5 linked regions of the Oryctolagus cuniculus genome follow. The protein of the gene in region 1 interacts with the protein of each later gene in a biochemical or structural test. Links are inferred from orthologs where the notes say so. Each region holds a gene or a part of one and is shown in the gene's direction. Other genes may lie near its edges. The genes, in order: KAT2B, IRF2, histone H2B type 1-B, SATB1 and CTBP1.

The links.
Region 2: the proteins of KAT2B (region 1) and IRF2 form a complex in vitro, tested with the Homo sapiens proteins (2 studies listed by BioGRID, with this or other methods). The link is inferred for Oryctolagus cuniculus from reciprocal best matches to the Homo sapiens genes KAT2B and IRF2.
Region 3: of the proteins of KAT2B (region 1) and histone H2B type 1-B, one has a biochemical effect on the other in vitro, tested with the Homo sapiens proteins (3 studies listed by BioGRID). The link is inferred for Oryctolagus cuniculus from reciprocal best matches to the Homo sapiens genes KAT2B and H2BC3.
Region 4: of the proteins of KAT2B (region 1) and SATB1, one has a biochemical effect on the other in vitro, tested with the Homo sapiens proteins (2 studies listed by BioGRID, with this or other methods). The link is inferred for Oryctolagus cuniculus from reciprocal best matches to the Homo sapiens genes KAT2B and SATB1.
Region 5: the proteins of KAT2B (region 1) and CTBP1 form a complex in vitro, tested with the Homo sapiens proteins (2 studies listed by BioGRID, with this or other methods). The link is inferred for Oryctolagus cuniculus from reciprocal best matches to the Homo sapiens genes KAT2B and CTBP1.

Annotation. Positions count from the first base shown.
Region 1 is NC_091435.1:155,739,381-155,742,898, forward strand, and holds part of KAT2B (histone acetyltransferase KAT2B), read left to right. Parts: intron 1-1,020; coding exon 1,021-1,127; intron 1,128-3,518. UniProt on the Homo sapiens protein: Functions as a histone acetyltransferase (HAT) to promote transcriptional activation. Has significant histone acetyltransferase activity with core histones (H3 and H4), and also with nucleosome core particles.
Region 2 is NC_091433.1:66,289,395-66,293,658, reverse strand, and holds the start of IRF2 (interferon regulatory factor 2), read left to right. Parts: upstream 1-1,447; 5' UTR 1,448-1,665; intron 1,666-1,809; 5' UTR 1,810-1,838; coding exon 1,839-1,899; intron 1,900-2,036; exon of another isoform or gene 2,037-2,093; intron 2,094-4,264. UniProt on the Homo sapiens protein: Specifically binds to the upstream regulatory region of type I IFN and IFN-inducible MHC class I genes (the interferon consensus sequence (ICS)) and represses those genes. Also acts as an activator for several genes including H4 and IL7.
Region 3 is NC_091436.1:153,352,443-153,354,970, reverse strand, and holds histone H2B type 1-B, read left to right. Parts: upstream 1-1,262; 5' UTR 1,263-1,590; coding exon 1,591-1,971; 3' UTR 1,972-2,027; downstream 2,028-2,528. Other genes in the region: histone H3.1, read right to left, coding at 1-240; histone H2A type 1-B, read right to left, coding at 870-1,262. UniProt on the Homo sapiens protein: Core component of nucleosome. Nucleosomes wrap and compact DNA into chromatin, limiting DNA accessibility to the cellular machineries which require DNA as a template.
Region 4 is NC_091435.1:153,910,930-153,913,123, reverse strand, and holds the end of SATB1 (DNA-binding protein SATB1), read left to right. Parts: coding exon 1-469; 3' UTR 470-1,679; downstream 1,680-2,194. UniProt on the Homo sapiens protein: Crucial silencing factor contributing to the initiation of X inactivation mediated by Xist RNA that occurs during embryogenesis and in lymphoma.
Region 5 is NC_091433.1:418,946-423,175, reverse strand, and holds the start of CTBP1 (C-terminal-binding protein 1), read left to right. Parts: upstream 1-1,415; 5' UTR 1,416-1,641; intron 1,642-4,230. UniProt on the Homo sapiens protein: Corepressor targeting diverse transcription regulators such as GLIS2 or BCL6. Has dehydrogenase activity. Involved in controlling the equilibrium between tubular and stacked structures in the Golgi complex.

The DNA of each region.
Region 1 (3,518 bases):
ACATTTGAGGTGGTTGGGGATTTGTACCTAGAGTTTTGGCAGCAGAGTCACACATACTGAAGTCGGAGGTGCTGTTTGAGTCCAGGGTACCACTGTCAGAGAGAGCTTGAACCAGCTTCCCACTGCCCAGTAGTCTCTGCTTCCCAGATGTGTTCTCAGGACTTCCATCCCAATCTTCTCACACTGCCTTGTCTTCCACTTGCCTCTAATTTGTGTTTTTCCTCCTCCTGCCTATTTATAAGATTTTTTTAAGTTTCATACTTTGTTATAAAAATAATAAATGTGCATGTTGATGAAAATTGGCTTCACAGAGAAAGAGTGAAGAAAAGTACCACCTATAGCCTTTCTGCTCTACTAAAAGTAGTCTTTCAGTGCTTTAGATATTTCTGTTTTTCTCCATTGAAAGACAATCAGTAAGCCTAGGTGGGCTGTGAATATCTGGATTTCTAACAAGTTCTCCCTCAGTGATTTCTGTGGGCTCCCAAAACCTGAGATCCATTTGGTTTATAACGTGATGGGGGAAGTTAACATATTGTTTAATAACTGGATCCAGTTCTGACTCTACCATTAACTCGATGGGGAATTTGAACCAGTTATTTAACCTCTCTTTGTCTTAGGTTTTTCATCTGTATAAAAGGGGATAGTAATGTTCCTCTCTTATAGGGTCATTATAAAGATCAGGTAAGTTGAAATATATCAACCACTTACAACATTGCCTATCAATACTAAGAGCTATATATGTGTGTAATAAATTAAAATAAATTAATGTAACTCTTAGGGTTGACATGAGGATTCAGTAAGATGTTCCAGTTTTGCAGGGTCAAAAGAGGATACATTTATAGAAATGGATTTCTGTATTTCTATATCCTAGGGCTGCCCAACTGAGTCATTTAAGTTAATAATTTTCTAGCATATTTGATTTGAAGGTGATAGCCATAGATGATTAGTGCTTTTGTCCCTCTACTAATATTTTCATTTTTTCTTTTTAAATCTTACTATTGTTTTTATTATTATGTCTAGATTTCTATCCATGTTAGAAGAAGAAGTTTATAGTCAAAACTCTCCCATCTGGGATCAGGATTTTCTCTCAGCCTCTTCCAGAATCAGCCAACTAGGAATCCAAACAGGTAAATTTCTTTTTATATAAATCATAGAATAACCAGGAAAACCAACATGAAGTGTAGGTGTAGCTTGCTCTGCAGGTATTTTTATTTTTCACCAGGAAATTTAAGACTATCTCCAGCAAAAAGCAAACACTTTTGCATATCACCCATCTGCAGTTCTATTAATGAGGAGAAAACAGGTGCAGACCAAAATCTGAGTTATGTCTGTATTAGTGAGTATAGGTGCAGACCAAATGGTTAAAACAACAAAACTATAGTATTTGTTTAGCTTTCACATTACAATTTAATGGGTGGTATAAAGTCCCAGGCAGCTCAGCTCTGTAGTCAATGCTGGCTCTTTTCAAAGTCACTGATAGTCTCAGTTAATGGCTAAACATGCCCAGGAATCAAGTGACAGTCTGGCCTCTAACCTGTGATGTTTGTTTTGTACATGAAGTTACTACCAAGAGTAATGGGAGCAGAGGGAGTCCTGGGAGAATGGGAGGAAGGCAGTCCCACATCTCAGGCTGTGAAGTACTTCCTGCTGGGTCAGAGCATCCATTATTGTCCTGAATCAGCTCATGACATTAGTAGGCATTTTATAAAAAAACAGATGTCTTCTGGAGTAACAGTAACTTTAGAAAGAGGATCTGAATTGCTGCCTTTGATAGTAGGAAGACTCAGCAGAGAAGGTTGACAGGAAATACCAAAACAACAATTCATATCTGGCTAGGGGGAAAGACAAATTCTCAGTTTTGAAATCAGTAGCTTTTGGTAGAGCGCCAGTTCCATGTGTAATATGGGGGCTTGTGAATATTGCCTCTAGCAAAGTTCATTTTATTTTGGCTTTTAAAAAATTGGGGTTAAATTCCCCCCATTTTTTAATGTACTGTGAGTTTTGACAAATATTTTTGATAATGCAATAATTATCAGAATAAACTGCAAACAAATTCCCTTGTACCCATTGGTAGTCTATTCTTTGTCCTATCTCTAGCCTTGGTAACCACTAATCTTTGTGTAGATTTTACCTTTTCCAGTGTATCCTACGAATTGCATCATATGTACTTTTTGAATAGGATGGTTTTCATTTAGCATAATGTATTTGAGAAGATTTAAAAAATTTTATTTGGAGCTCATGTTTTGGGTATAAATATGATTAAATGTCTACAAAGCAGAGCACATAGGGAATGATATTTTATTTGGATCAAACCCTTTTTGATTTAACTCTTGTACCAAAATATGTCAAAAACGTCTCTGTGTCCATTTTTACTTTAGGTCATAACTCCATGTTTCTCTGGTCCAAATCCTGTGGTGCTTTGAGACCTAGCTGAGCCTATTACATCCTCCCTGCACACTTAAGTGATCAGCATTTACTGGATATATTTCTGTGGTCACTGGACACATCCTCTGCGTTGTTCTCTCTGTACCTGTGCTATTCATTTTGTCTTTGTCTTTGTCTTACCCAACTTTCAAATGTCATCTCTCTTGCAAACCCTTTCCTAATGTCTCCCATTCCCCTCAGCAAGAACTGGATCTCCTTTCTTTCAAGCCTTCACAAAACCTTGGATACGTTCTCTCCTTGGTTCTCAAACATGGCTGCGCAGTGGGGTCATCCATGGAGATTTGAAATATACTGATTTTTCTAAGGGCCATCCTGAGAGAGTGTAGTTGGCTGAGGGTGCATTGGGACTTTTACAAGCTCCTCAGGTGACTGTAATGTGCAGTAGCATTTGAGAACTGTTGTGGCATATGATAACTTACCTCCTGTTATCCTAGCCCCGTTTTTTCTGCATAGCTTTTCGATTTTTTAGAAACAAATTATTTATTTGATTTTTTGGAAAGGCAGAGAGAGTAAGAGGGAGAGATATCTTTCATTCATTAGTTTACTCCCCCAAATGCCCACAACAGCCAGTTATGGGCCAGAGCTGAATTCAGGATCCTGGAACTCAATCCGAGTCCCCCACATGGCTGCCAGGTACCTAAGTATTTGAGCCAACACCTGCTGCCTTCCAGGGTGCACATTAGCAGGAAGCTGGAATTGGAAGCAGGGCCAGGACTTAACCCAAGGACTCTGATATGGAATGCTCATGTCCCAAGCAGCAACTTAACTGCTGTGCAAAACACCACCCTATCTCCACATGTTTTCTCTTCTATGAATGCAACTCCTTGATGATCAGAGACTCAGTTTTGCCACAGTAATAGTAATAATTGATACTTTCATTAAATGCTTTTCTATGAAGTTTGCTTCATATTTTTATTAAAGATTTGCTTAAATTTATTTGAAAGGCAGAGTTACAGAGAGGCAAGAGAGAGAGAGAGAGAAAGAGAGTCTTCCATCTGCTGGTTCATTCCCCGATTAGCCACGATGGCTGGAGCTGCACCAATTCGAAGCCAGGAGCCAGGAGTTTCTTCTGG
Region 2 (4,264 bases), on another chromosome or scaffold:
ACTCAGGGAACGCAGCACCTGCGGGTGCCATGACACCAGGCTATTGCTTCTTGCACTCCTGGGGCTGCGAGGCGAGATCTGGGTCCCATGTGTGCCTAGAGTGAGAATTTCAAACCGACACCCTGATGATTTCTTCCCTTCTTCTTTCTTCTTCCCCACTTCTTCTTCACATTCCAGGGGAAATACAGTGAGGCAACTTTTTTGGTCGAAAAAAAAAGAGAGAGATCTGGGTCTCAGGGTGGGTGAAGAGTGACAACTATCCTACAGTTTGTGTGTCTGCCCCTATGGGCGTCATGGATATACAAATTAAGAAAAGTGAGTGTCTGGGTCGCTGTGACAGAGGGGACAATGAATAATGTGCGTATATGAGACCCACTGGAGTCCATAGCCACAAAACGGGACACTAGATCCTCAGCTCCCGCCCCACCACACGTGCATATCCCGACACTTTTCTTTATCCAGTGCACATAATTCAATGCTTCTGTGACAAAGACAGGTGCTGGAGTTTATTATTACTTTTGGAAATAATATGAGAAGAAATAGCTAGAGAAGGGACGAGCCGTTTGCCTAAGCCCCCCATGGGGAGAGGCGGCTCTAATCGGTGTGCGCCTATCCTCTCCTATGCAAGTGATGAGAAAGGACTGGGTCCCAAGTGCTGTGAGTTTGGGCTTAGAGGTGGCGGCTGAGGCACCTGTATTCTATTCTCCCATTTATCCCCGGCCTGGAAACCTGAGGCCGAGGGTGCTCAGCGAGTGAACTAAAGAGGCCAATTAAGAAAGCATCCAGTCTCCGCCCAGGCCCCGACCCCGGCCACCACATCTTTGAGGAGCAGCGACTCCCACGCTCGCCAGCCTCCCCACGGGGCGCCAGGGATGCCGACTTTTCACATCACTGCCCCGCGTTCGCTCCTTCGAGGTGGGCAGTGCTACACTCTGCTGCCCCACAGCAACCGGCTGCCGCCCTCCCGTCCCCGCGCCCCGCACGCTCCCCGCCTCGGGTCCCCCTCCTCAGAGCGCCAGGCGACCCCGAGGACGCGCAGGGCCCGCACCTGCCCGTCCTCGCTCCCACCCCAGCCTGCACCAGCTTCTGACCTGACCCCCGCCCCAACAAACCCGCGCCCGCGCCCGCTCCCCACCCGGGGCCCTCACGCGCGTGCGGCTGCGGGGAACGCGAGCGCCCCTGTGCGCGAGCAGCTAGACTCACGCGCGGCCGCCCGTGGCTCCCGCGACGTGGGGAAGTGAAAATGAAATCGACTTTTCCGAGAAACGATGAAAGCGGCGCCGCGAGCCAATGAGCGGCGGCGGCGAACTTCCGCGCCCCGCGGCCCGGCCGCTCGCGCCCGCCCTCGGCCGCCGCCTCCCGGTTGCACAAGGCCGAGACAAACACTGGGGAGGAAGGGCGGAGGAGGCGGGCGGAGGGAGGCGGGCGAGGGCGCGCGGCGGCGAGCGGGGCGGGGGGCGGGGGGATTTCCAGCCGCGGCGCTTCGCAGTTTCCTCTCCTTGTTTTGCTTTCGATCTGGACTGTTCTCAGGCCAGCCGGGGAGTAACTTTTAGTTTTGCTCCCGCGATTATTCAACTGACGGGCTTTCGTTTCCATTTCCCACACCCTAGCAACACTTAGCCCTTGCGGGATTGCACGGCTAGCGTGAAAAAGCACACGGAGAAGGTAACATTTTTTTTTTTTTTTTTGGCCAAATAATAGTTGTGACGGTGCGTGTGTTTTCTCTCGAGGGCTTGTTGACGGGGCCGGGGGTGGGGGCTGTGCGTTTGCGTGTGCGTGTCCTGATGCTTTTGACACGATGTTTTGCAGACGGAAAATGCCGGGGTTCCTAAAAATTAATGCCGGTTTGTGGAGGATCACTCGGCGCAATTATGGATCATCTGGTTTTAGGGGAAGCAGGTTCGGCTGTTCTGCTGCTGTTGCTACTGGGGCTGCTGAGGCTGCAAGGAGGAGGAGGAGGAGGTGGAGGAGGAGGAGGAGGTAGAGAGGGAGGAGGAGGAGGTTGGTGGAGGTTTAATTTCACTTTTGGATTTGCAGATGCGAAGAAGTGGTTCCATGGACACAGAGCTGTTCTGTGTGATTCCGTACCTCAGGTGTCGTGTGTCGGGGTGCGGGTCCGCTGGAGCAGGGCCTCATTTAAAACCAAAACTGTCCTGTCTGCGTGTGCGTGTATGTGTGTTTACAAGCCGCGGCCGCCAGCAGACCCGAAGGCGGGGAGCAGGTCCTCCTCGGTGCCGGCGGCGGCGCCTCTCCCGCGGCAGCCGCCAGTGTAAATAAGCGGGCACCCGCCGTCCGCCAGCTGCCCGCGCCCCGGCGACAGCAAACTTGAAGGGGCGCCCCGCGGCTGAGCCTGGGGGCTCGCCCACCCGCCCGGCACCGGGCAGGGTCGCGGGCGTCGGGTGGCAGCGTCCGGAGCGGGCTCGGAGCGCGAGGCTGGGCGCCGGGCCTGGCCGACGCGCCGGGCTTCCTGGGGGCTGGGCCGCCGCCACTCTGGAGGGACGCCGCGTCCTCCTTCCCGCCGGCCAGCGCCCGGCCTGGCCCGGGGGCTTTGTCGTTGCACTTGTCCCGGCGCGCGAGGGGCTCAGGCGGCGCGTCTCGGGAGGGCGCCGCGCGGACGGGTCATCTGCCCCGGCCGCGGCCTAGCGCCGGGCGCCTCCGGGTCCCCGCCGGCGCCCCCGGCCGGCCTCGCGCGCTGGGCCTGACCCGCCTCGGCTACGGAGCGGGCGAGGTGGGGGCAGGGAGCCTCCGGGGACCGAGCGGCGCCCGGGAGGGCAGGCGCGAGGGCCGGCGTCCCCCCAGAGGGGGGCTTGGGGCGCGGGGCGGCGGCGGGGTGGGGACGGGAATGCCCGCCCCGCGCCCTCCGACCCCGCTGTGGGCGCCGGGTGACACTCGCCCGCCGGCCGAACATGGTTGGTGCAAAGCCGCGGCCGCCACTTCCTCTCCGCCTCGCCCGCCCCGGCTCGCCCACCGAGCGATGCCGGCTGCAGCCAATCGCGGCGCCCGGCCGCTCCCGGCGGCACGGTCCGGGGGCTGGCACCCGCCGGGGGCCCGGGGAGCCTGTCCAAGTTCACAGGGTGTCGCTGGCAACTCCCGCCCTCCCCGGAACGCGGCGGCAGCACCCGCTGGCCCCGGTGCGTTTGCCACCCTTACCCGCGTGTCCCCTCGGAAGGGGGGAAAGGGACGGAGGCTGGCCGCCCGACCGGGGCGTGAGCCGCGTGTTTGGGCACCGCTGGGGCGCCGGGGGCGGCCGGCGTAGGCAGGACCCGCCGGGCCGACTGTGTATGTAGCGCGGTAGCTCTCCCTGGCTGCTAACCCCACGGTGTTTGAAACTTGGGGGCTTACTGCCCGCTCCGCGGTCTTCAGCCTTCTCCTTCCCGTCCTTGGCTGTGGAATTAGAAAATGCAGCCCTTCTAAAACGAGGAAAAGTGCCGGCCTTTGCCTTCTGCCCGTGGCCGCCCCGTGGCTGTGATTCGGTCTGCTTTTGATGAATGGCCAGGGAGGGTGGAGGATACTTACGTTTCCTGTTGTGGATTTTCAGGAATCATCGGGGTTGCAGTCCTGCGTGCAGACGTTGATTGGTTTTCAGATGCACTGCGGGCACCCCTTGCACTTGGCAGCCTGCACATTTTGGTGCTCCAGGGCAGGTGCAGACAGGGGTCTGGTATCAGACACAGGGGCGGATGGTCTTGATGTTAGACAGATGCCTGCTCCATTGCCAGGGCCCCAGCGGCGATCCCGTTGGACTTCATCACACACACAGATTCAGGGGGCCCTGATTTTCCCGGAATGATCCCTCCATTCATGGGGTTGGCGGGGGGGGGGGGGGGGGGGGAGGAGAAAAAATAGAAATCTAAAAAATCCTGGGAAAACTTTGTGTCTTCCCTAAGGAAACCTCAGTAGATGGAATTTTTAGCATTTCAACTGACACCTTTAGATTGTGACCTTGGAACATCTATTGATTAGTGTGGCAAAGTCCAGAATTTCACTGTAATTAGCGAATGATTATAATTTATAACAGCCTGTTGGGTAGGAATGAGATTTTGGCCTCTTGGATGGGAGAATTCTCATGCATTGTTATGAGTTGTAACTGCTTCTTTAAATTAAACACGTACATATTTCATTCTCAAGGAGTCGTATTTTTCCTGTTGACCTTCAAAACTTAGAGACAGTTCCACATATTTCAGACTTACCTGTACAATGTCATCTTCATCAAAAGGAAGGGTCTGGAAGCAAATTATGGCAAACAAATGGTTGCCGTCAAGAA
Region 3 (2,528 bases), on another chromosome or scaffold:
CTTGAAGTCCTGCGCGATCTCGCGCACCAGGCGCTGGAAGGGCAGCTTGCGGATGAGCAGCTCGGTGGACTTCTGGTAGCGCCGGATCTCGCGCAGCGCCACCGTGCCGGGCCGGTAGCGGTGCGGCTTCTTGACGCCGCCCGTGGCCGGCGCGCTCTTGCGGGCCGCCTTGGTGGCCAGCTGCTTGCGCGGCGCCTTGCCGCCTGTTGACTTGCGCGCTGTCTGCTTAGTACGAGCCATCTCGCGCCGGTGGGACTCAAACTTCTTGTCTGCGGCGACAGAGCTGCCTTTAAATATCGTTAGGACTACTGTGATTGGCTTCCGGATTTTCAAAAAATCCGCGCGACAAACTCATTGGCTAAAGGAGGAACTTCGATGATTGGTCCACTCAGACAACCTGATTGGCCGGATTCATCCACTGTCCGTTTGGGATGGTAGACGTTTTCTAACATCTGGATCATTCCATCTCAGAAGCGTACCTAACCGTGGAGGGAGATTACCTCAGTAACAGGCCCTAGCGTGGACCCCGAAATCCCTAATTACCTGGGCCTGCCGTCTAATAGCGCCCGATAAACACTGAGCCACGGAAAGGTGCCCTGACTTAAGGCAAAACGCGTTTTACGTTTGAAACAGCTGCACCTCGGGGGCTATTTCCCGACTGACACACCCCCCGTCACTGTGTGGCCTTTCATCCGTCACAATAAATACACGTTTCACTTGTTTCCACAGTTTTCTTAAGCGCTAACGCTATCACCATGGGAAGGACTAATTCCAGTCAGGGTTAGCAGCTTTTTTGTGAAACAGTGGATGGCCCTGAAAAGAGCCTTTGGGTATTTCAAAGCGAGAGTTGCGTCGTCTTTACTGTGGTTTCACTTGCCCTTGGCCTTGTGGTGGCTCTCGGTCTTCTTGGGCAGCAGCACGGCCTGGATGTTGGGCAGCACGCCGCCCTGCGCGATGGTGACGCGGCCCAGCAGCTTGTTGAGCTCCTCGTCGTTGCGGATGGCCAGCTGCAGGTGGCGCGGGATGATGCGCGTCTTCTTGTTGTCGCGCGCCGCGTTGCCCGCCAGCTCCAGGATCTCGGCCGTCAGGTACTCGAGCACGGCCGCCAGGTACACTGGGGCGCCGGCGCCCACGCGTTCCGAGTAGTTGCCCTTGCGCAGCAGGCGGTGCACGCGACCCACGGGGAACTGGAGCCCGGCCCGGGAGGAGCGGGTCTTGGCCTTGGCGCGCGCCTTGCCGCCTTGCTTGCCACGCCCAGACATGGTACAGCCAAACACGCTTCGCAATCTGAAGTAAAGAAAACCATACCCGCCAAGACTGTGCTTTTATAAGCAGCGCAGGGCTACTACAGTACGTCATCCTATTGGTCGAAATAGGTTCGCCTTTTCTGCCCAATAGGAAAAGACAACCCGGATACCTTATTTGCATAAACAACCCCCCTAGAGAAAATTTCTTTGTTGTCCAATCAGAAGTGAGAAGTCTCAAACCCTCATTTGAATTACGGGACTATAAATATATGCACTCCGGCCTGTCATCACTAATCAGCTGTAGACTGAGTCTGTTTTAGTCTCTCAGCCAATATTAAAAGCAATGCCTGAACCCTCCAAATCCGCTCCCGCCCCCAAAAAGGGCTCCAAGAAGGCGATAACAAAGGCGCAGAAGAAGGATGGCAAGAAGCGCAAGCGCAGTCGCAAGGAGAGTTACTCCATCTACGTGTACAAGGTGCTCAAGCAGGTGCACCCCGACACCGGCATCTCGTCCAAGGCCATGGGCATCATGAACTCGTTCGTCAACGACATCTTCGAGCGCATCGCCGGCGAGGCCTCGCGCCTGGCGCACTACAACAAGCGCTCGACCATCACGTCGCGCGAGATCCAGACGGCCGTGCGCCTGCTGCTGCCTGGTGAGCTGGCCAAGCACGCCGTGTCCGAGGGCACCAAGGCTGTCACCAAGTACACCAGCTCCAAGTGAGCTCCCGAATTGGCGCCGCCGCCCCTCACCCCAAAGGCTCTTTTCAGAGCCACCAACTCTTTCACAAATAGAGCTGTGGCCGACGTCCTTGTATTTTGCTCCTGTTGAGGTGGGTTTAGGTCGGGTGTTAGGGCTGGCGTTAGTGACGACCCCAGAACGCGTGTTTATCCCGTGCAGGTCGGCGCTGAGTAACCTTAGGGCACTTTGGTCGGGGTCGGGGACTGGGGTTCGCGATGTGATGGGAGATGCGCATTTCGTGAACTCGGGTTCGCATGAGCTTTGAAGAGCCCCCTCTAACATCTCCAGCTCCTCGACAGTGAAATGGAGTGAAATTCCTGCAGTTCTCCCTGTTACCTACCTGTAGCCACTAATCACGTCGGCTAAGCAGTCCTTGAGTCTTCAGAAATCCATGGATCACCTATTGGATGGGGCGGATTTTTCTCAAGAATGGAGCCTTGATACTGGCTGGAGTCAGGATGCGATCTGAATCCCGCGCCTTTCCTGGTTCGCGGCCAGCCACTGGCTGAGGGGAGGGGCCAGGGCGCGTCGGGGCGGAG
Region 4 (2,194 bases), about 1.8 Mb from region 1:
GCCGCCACCCCCGCAGCCGCAGCCGCAGCCGCAGGCGGGCCCCCGGCTCCCGCCTCGCCAGCCCACCGTGGCCTCGCCCGCAGAGTCCGACGAGGAGAACCGGCAGAAGACGCGGCCGCGAACAAAAATTTCGGTGGAAGCCCTGGGAATCCTGCAGAGCTTCATCCAAGACGTGGGCCTGTACCCTGACGAAGAGGCCATCCAGACTCTGTCGGCCCAGCTCGACCTCCCCAAGTACACCATCATCAAGTTCTTCCAGAACCAGCGGTACTATCTCAAGCACCACGGCAAGCTGAAGGACAATTCCGGTCTCGAGGTGGATGTGGCAGAGTACAAGGAAGAGGAGTTGCTCAAGGATTTGGAAGAGAGTGTCCAAGACAAAAATGCCAACACCCTTTTTTCGGTGAAGCTAGAAGAGGAGCTGTCCGTGGAAGGGAACACAGACATTAGCGCTGATTTGAAAGACTGAGATAGTAGTATTATTTTCGTTCAACAATGCCACTGGTATTTACTAACAAGATGAGAAGTCCACCTTGCATTCTCTCAGAAACCCTTTGTCGTTCATTGTTTGGCCAATGAATCTTCAGAAACTCGCACAGACAGGAAGGCTGGGAGAGGAGTCATGCAGACTGCACTAAAGTTTTACAAACTGCTCGCAGCCCCAGGTGAAGCATCGAGGATTGTTTGGTATTAAAATTTGTGTTCACGGAACACACCAAGGTGTGTGCCTGTAAGCATGGTACCAGTGATTTTTATTTTTCAATGATTATTATTCTGGAGCCTCAAACAAGCATTATAACTTCTGTGATTATGATTTCCTTTCCTTTAATTATGATCTTTGGAAACTTGCCCCTTATTTTAAAAAAGAAAAAAAAAAGAGTTTGTTACTCTATTGTATGTTACAAAAGAACTATAGACTGTGGAATGCAGTTTAAAGATGACATATGCCAACAAATGCCTTGTATTATATGGCACTGCCGTAATTCAAATTTGTTTTTATTTTGGAAATAAAAGTTCACTGTAATTTTTTTCATTCACATTGTTACATGCCTTTTATTTTTTTTTTTTTGAAAAAGAAAAGAAAATGTGAAACACAATTTAGTCCTCATTATTTATTTGTAGATCCTGCAGCATCATGTTGTAATTAATTTTTTGGAAGTTTCCGTTAAATGTAATATTGCTTCTCTTGTTACCATACTGATATTCTTTTCTATTTATAAATGTATTTTGATGGGCAGTAAAACAAAGTGTCTTAAAAGTTTTAAATAGAGAAAATGTGCTTTACACAGTTGCCTATAAAAAGTGCTCTATGTTATCCAAGCAATTCATACTATAAGCTTCACTCTTATTGTTGTATGCAATTTTTACTATCATGCAAATAAGCTTAGGTAAATAAAACTAATAGATCACCTTAGAAAATTATGCAATTAATGTGAAATAATTGATGTTTGCAATGTGTCTTCCTTTGGTTTACAATCAATTTTAAAGGTACATCTGTATAAAATTTCTGTATAAAGGTGTATTTCTTTTTTATGAGTTTATGGCTATGAAAACACCAGCTATTTTGTTACAGCTGGCTGTTTTTATAAGTGTATCACAATTTTCTTTATGCAGAAACGTTCTGATTAGGAGTGGTTATTGACTGTAACTACACAATTAAAATTGTTTGTATGGTATGACATGGTAGGGTTTGTCTGCTTATGTCAAGTCACCTTGAAGAAGAATCAAAGGATGGTCCTCTCACTTAAGTGCATGTTTATACTATTTTTCTTGATATTTTTTTTCGAAAGAACAACTGAGAAGTCACTTAAAATATTGTAAAAAGTCACAAACACATGCTCATTTTTAAAGAGTTATGAAATTTCACAATGAAAATGATAACCATGTTTTTTGGTTGATATTTTGCTTGATAAACAACATAGCATGCCCAAACTCCAACAAAAACCTACATTCACACTCTGACAGTTACGTTCTTAGAGTGCTTCAACCTGCTTTTATTTCACAGTATTTTAACTGTAGCAACACTTTCTTAAGCTAAAGTATAAGTATTTTTAAAGGCTATTAATAGTAAGAAATTAAGTAAATGGGAAAATGAACCCTCTGAATAAAAACTCTTCAGGAAGCATTTTCTTTAAACGTTTATTTACTTACTTTGAAAGAGTTTCAGAGAGCAGGTGAGACAGAGAGTGATATT
Region 5 (4,230 bases), on another chromosome or scaffold:
CATGGTCACTACCCGGCCCCCCGTGGTTACTGCCCAGGCCCCCCCCCCGCACCCACTTCCCAGCCCCCCATGGTCACTACCCGGCCCCCCATGGTCACTGCCCAGGCCCCCCCCCCCCGCACCCACTTCCCAGCCCCCCATGGTCACTACCCGGCCCCCCGTGGTTACTGCCCAGGCCCCCCCCCCCGCACCCACTTCCCAGCCCCCCATGGTCACTACCCGGCCCCCCGTGGTTACTGCCCAGGCCCCCCCCCGCACCCACTTCCCAGCCCCCCATGGTCACTACCCGGCCCCCCGTGGTCACTGCCCAGCCCCCCCGCACCCACTTCCCACCCCCCCATGGTCACTGCCCCTGCCCCACGCCCAGCCGGGGCTCTCGCCAGCCCCGGGAGCAGACAGCAGGGCCCAGCGGCCTCTACCTGGGCACCAGCCGTCGGGCCGGGCTGAGCTGTGCTGTGGAAAGTTCCATCAGGACGCAGCCGGGGGGTGTGTGAGTGCCTGGCTGCCGAGACCCCAGACCCCAGACCCCGGAGCCCGGAGCCTGCAGCCGGGAGCCCCCCAGGCCGAGGGGGCTGCACGCGCGCTCCTCTGCCTCCTTGGGCCCGCCTGGTGGAAGGCCAGGGGTCCCTGCTGCCGGCCTGGGCTCTGGCCACTCTGGTGGGGTCCCTCCCCGGCCCCCGACTCCACTGCCCACTCTTCCGGAAAGCGGCCAGCCCCAGGGGCAAGGCCTCCCCCGCGGGAGTGCGGGAGTCCAGGGCTGAGGGTTCGCGCGGGAATTAGTTCGTTTGTATTCACATCCGCCGCGCTGCGGTGCTTTCTCTGAACGGGGGAATCTTCCTTGGCTGGGCCACTCCCCAGCGGGCGACCCGGACCCAAGCCCTGAGTCCCGCCTGCCGGGCGCCCGCCTAACGGCTCTGCGGGGCTGTCCGAGGACGGGGTGGGCCCGAGCTCCAAGCTGCCCGCTGGGCCTCCCGGCCCGGTTCTCCCCGGGGTCCGGGGTCCGGGCGGCGGGCGCGGGCGGAGACGCCCACCCTGCGGGGCTCCTGGCGCGGCTCTCACACAGGGCCCGGGTGAGACGGCGTCCGAAAAAGAGCCGGACAGCACCGCGCGCGAAGGGCCCTGGGGCGTGCGGGACCGGACTGAGCCAGGCGCGGGGGAGGCCTCGGCCGGGCGGGCGCACACCTGGCCCGCCGCACCTGCCCGCCTGCTCCCCCGCACGGGGCTCGGAGCGCGGGGCCGCGCCGGCCGCTTCCCGGAGCGCCCCCGGCAGGCGCCGCACCTGCACCTGCAGCGCCCGCGCCGCGGGGCCCGACCCCGCGGAGGACGGCGGGCGGGGCCGCGCCGAGAGCCCGAGCCGCCCGCCCGCGCCGCGCGCTGCGCCGGCAACCAGCAGACCAACCGCGCAGGCCCCGCCCGCGCGCGCCGCCGCGTGTCCCCGCCCGCTCGGTCGGTCGGAGCGCGGCTCGCGGCGCGGCTCGCACGGCGGCGGCGGCGCAGGCGGCGGGCGGAGCAGCGGACGGCGCCGAGGCCGCCCCACGCGCCGGGCTCGCGGCGGCGGAGCGCGCGGGACTCGCGGGGCCCGCGGCCGCCCGCGCTTTTCAATGGGCAGCTCGCACTTGCTCAACAAGGGCCTCCCTCTCGGTAAGGCCGCGCGCGCTTCCGGCCGGGGCGGGGGCGGCGACGCGCGCGCGGGGCGGGCCGGGCGCGCGCCCGTGGGCGCCGGCTTTGTGTGCGAGTGCGCGTGCGCGCCGGCGGGCGGGGGGCGGGGGCCGCGCGCATGCGCGGGCTGCTGCGAGCGAGTGCGCGTGCGCGTGCGCCGCGCGGCCTGGCCCGCGCAGGTGACACAAAGGGGCCCGCGGGCCTCGGGGCGGCCCCGCAGCCCTGGCCGCCCCCGCCCCGGGCTCCTGGGCGTGGCGCTGCGGCCCCGGCCCCGCGAGCGCCCAGCGGGCTGCCCTGGGGCCCGAGGCCCGAGGCCCGGAAGTGAGCACGCAGGTCGTTCCCCGGGGCGGCGGGGAGCCCGAGGCCTCGCGGCGCCACCTTTGTGTCCGGCCCGGCGGGCGGGCTGCGGCCGGGGTCGCGGGGCCCGCTTCTGGCCCTCGTGATGAGCAACCCCGGTTAGGGCAAAAGGGGGCTCCCGGGGGGCCAGGCCCGGCCACAGTGGCCGCGTCCCGCCGCCGACCCGGCCTTTCCGGCCCCGAGGCCCCCACTCTGGGTCTGCGCGCGGACAGCGGAGGGCTCGAGTCCCCCGGGCTGCTGGCCCCCGGCCGGGGCTCCGGTTCCCGCGCTCTTCCCTGCCCTGCCCTGCACTTGGCCTGTGTGCCCAGTCCGGGACTGCGGGGTGGGGGCGGGTGGGGCGCTGCGCCTGCCTCTGCGGCCCTGCACACCGGCGGCTGCCCCCAGCCTGGGCTGGCTCTGCCGGGCCGGGGAGGGGACGGTGCTTGGTCTCCCCAGCGTCTCCTGACCCCACAAGCGCGCTCAGCAGGTGCCGGCCGGGCCTCTCTTCCCAGTGTTCTGTGTCCTGCCTCGGGGCACCCGGGACTGGGACTGTCCCATGGGCTCAGCCCCGGTTCTGGCCACATCCCGGGCAGTAGGGGCACCGCTGGCCCTGTCGGCCTCTGAGGCCGCACGGTGGACCTTGGTAGCCCGGGGTTTGGCCGTCTGGGCAGCGTCTTGGTGCCTGGTCAGCATGTCGTGGCTGGCGTCAGGGTCCTGTGCCGAGGGTTTGTCGCCTGCCCTTGGGTCTCTGGCCAGGAGCCTGCAGGTGGTGCCTGCCCCAAAACCCCTGTCCCCTTGGTCTGAGTGCCCGCGGCTCCGGCCTTCTTGTGCAGCCAGGCCTGGGGGTCTCAGCCCCCTCCGTGTGGGCTGCCAGGAAGCAGGGTGTCCACGGTGGGGAGGGTGAGGGCTCCCGCGGCGGGCACCCCACGGTGCAGGCTTCCTGCAAACCAGACCCCCTTGGCTGCTGGGCTGGGCTGGGGCGGCCAGAGCCCCGTGCACGTGCCTGGTGTGGGTGCTGGGCGGGGTGGGGGCCACCTGGCTGCTCCCTTGCCGGCTGTGGTATGGATGCCACAGGGGCCCCACTGTTCTCAGAGCCAGGTTTCCTGTGGGGTCCACTCGTCCCCCAGGAGGGCAAGCAGGGGCTGCCCTAGGCCCTCCACCCCAGAGTGGAGCCTGTGCGGCCTTCAGGACACGCGTGTGGTGAGCGGGCCCATAGCTCCCTGGGGGGTGGACCATGGTGGCAGATCTGCACCTCCCGTGGGACCCTCTGCCTGGGGTGGGTCCCCCTGGCCCCTCGTGCCTGCTGCCCACGGGCTCAGTTCCCACCCGGCAGCGGGTGGCTGCATGTCCCCTGCCAACACTGTGTGCAGGCCTGGTGGACGCTGGGGTGGCCGTCGCAGGCTCTTCCGTGTGTTGAGCGGGAGCCAGGCCCCAGAGAGCCGTGAGGGGCAGCAGGGGGTGCCCTTGTGGGGCAGGAGTGGGGCTGGCCGCACTGGGCTTTGTGTTCAGGGTGTGGGGGTTGTCTTTTTTTTGAGATTTATTTATCTGAAAGGCGGAGTTACAGAAGAGAGAGGTTGAGGGAGGCAGAGAGAGAGAGGTCTTCCATCTGCTGGTTCACTCCCCAGTTGGCCGCAATGGCCGGAGCTGCATGGATCTGGAGCCAGGAGCTTCCTCCGGGTCTCCCACATGAGCGCAGGGGCCCAAGCACTTGGGCATCTTCCACTGCTTTCCCAGGCCACAGCAGGGAGCTGGATGGGAAGTGGAGCAGCCGGGACTTGAACCGGCGTCCATATGGGATGCCGGCACTGCAGGCAGCAGCCTCACCTGGCGTGGGGGTTCTTAATCGGGCTGCGGTGAACCCCAGTTGCTGTGAGGCGGGGAGGGTGTGGTGGGCGTCAGGTCTGAGATGTCTCGGAGCTCACAGGCAGGGATGCGGCAGGGGTCACTGGTGGCTGACCTGCGCCAGCGTGGTGCCGGCCGGGACCCCGTGTCCCTGTGCCTGTGGGACCCCTGAGCTGCCCTGGCGCTGTCCATCCGGGGCAGTTTGACCACTGAATCCGTGTTGCTGCTGCTGCGGGGACCAGGCTGTGCGGGCGGGAGTGGACTCGTCCCCCCGGGCCAGCTTGGCCTAAAGTCCCTGCGAGTACGAGCTCCCCCCGCAGCCCCGCCGTCCCCGCAGCGCCGACTGCCTCGGGAGTGGCATGGCACGGCCCGAGGCCAGCCGCTCAGGTGCCC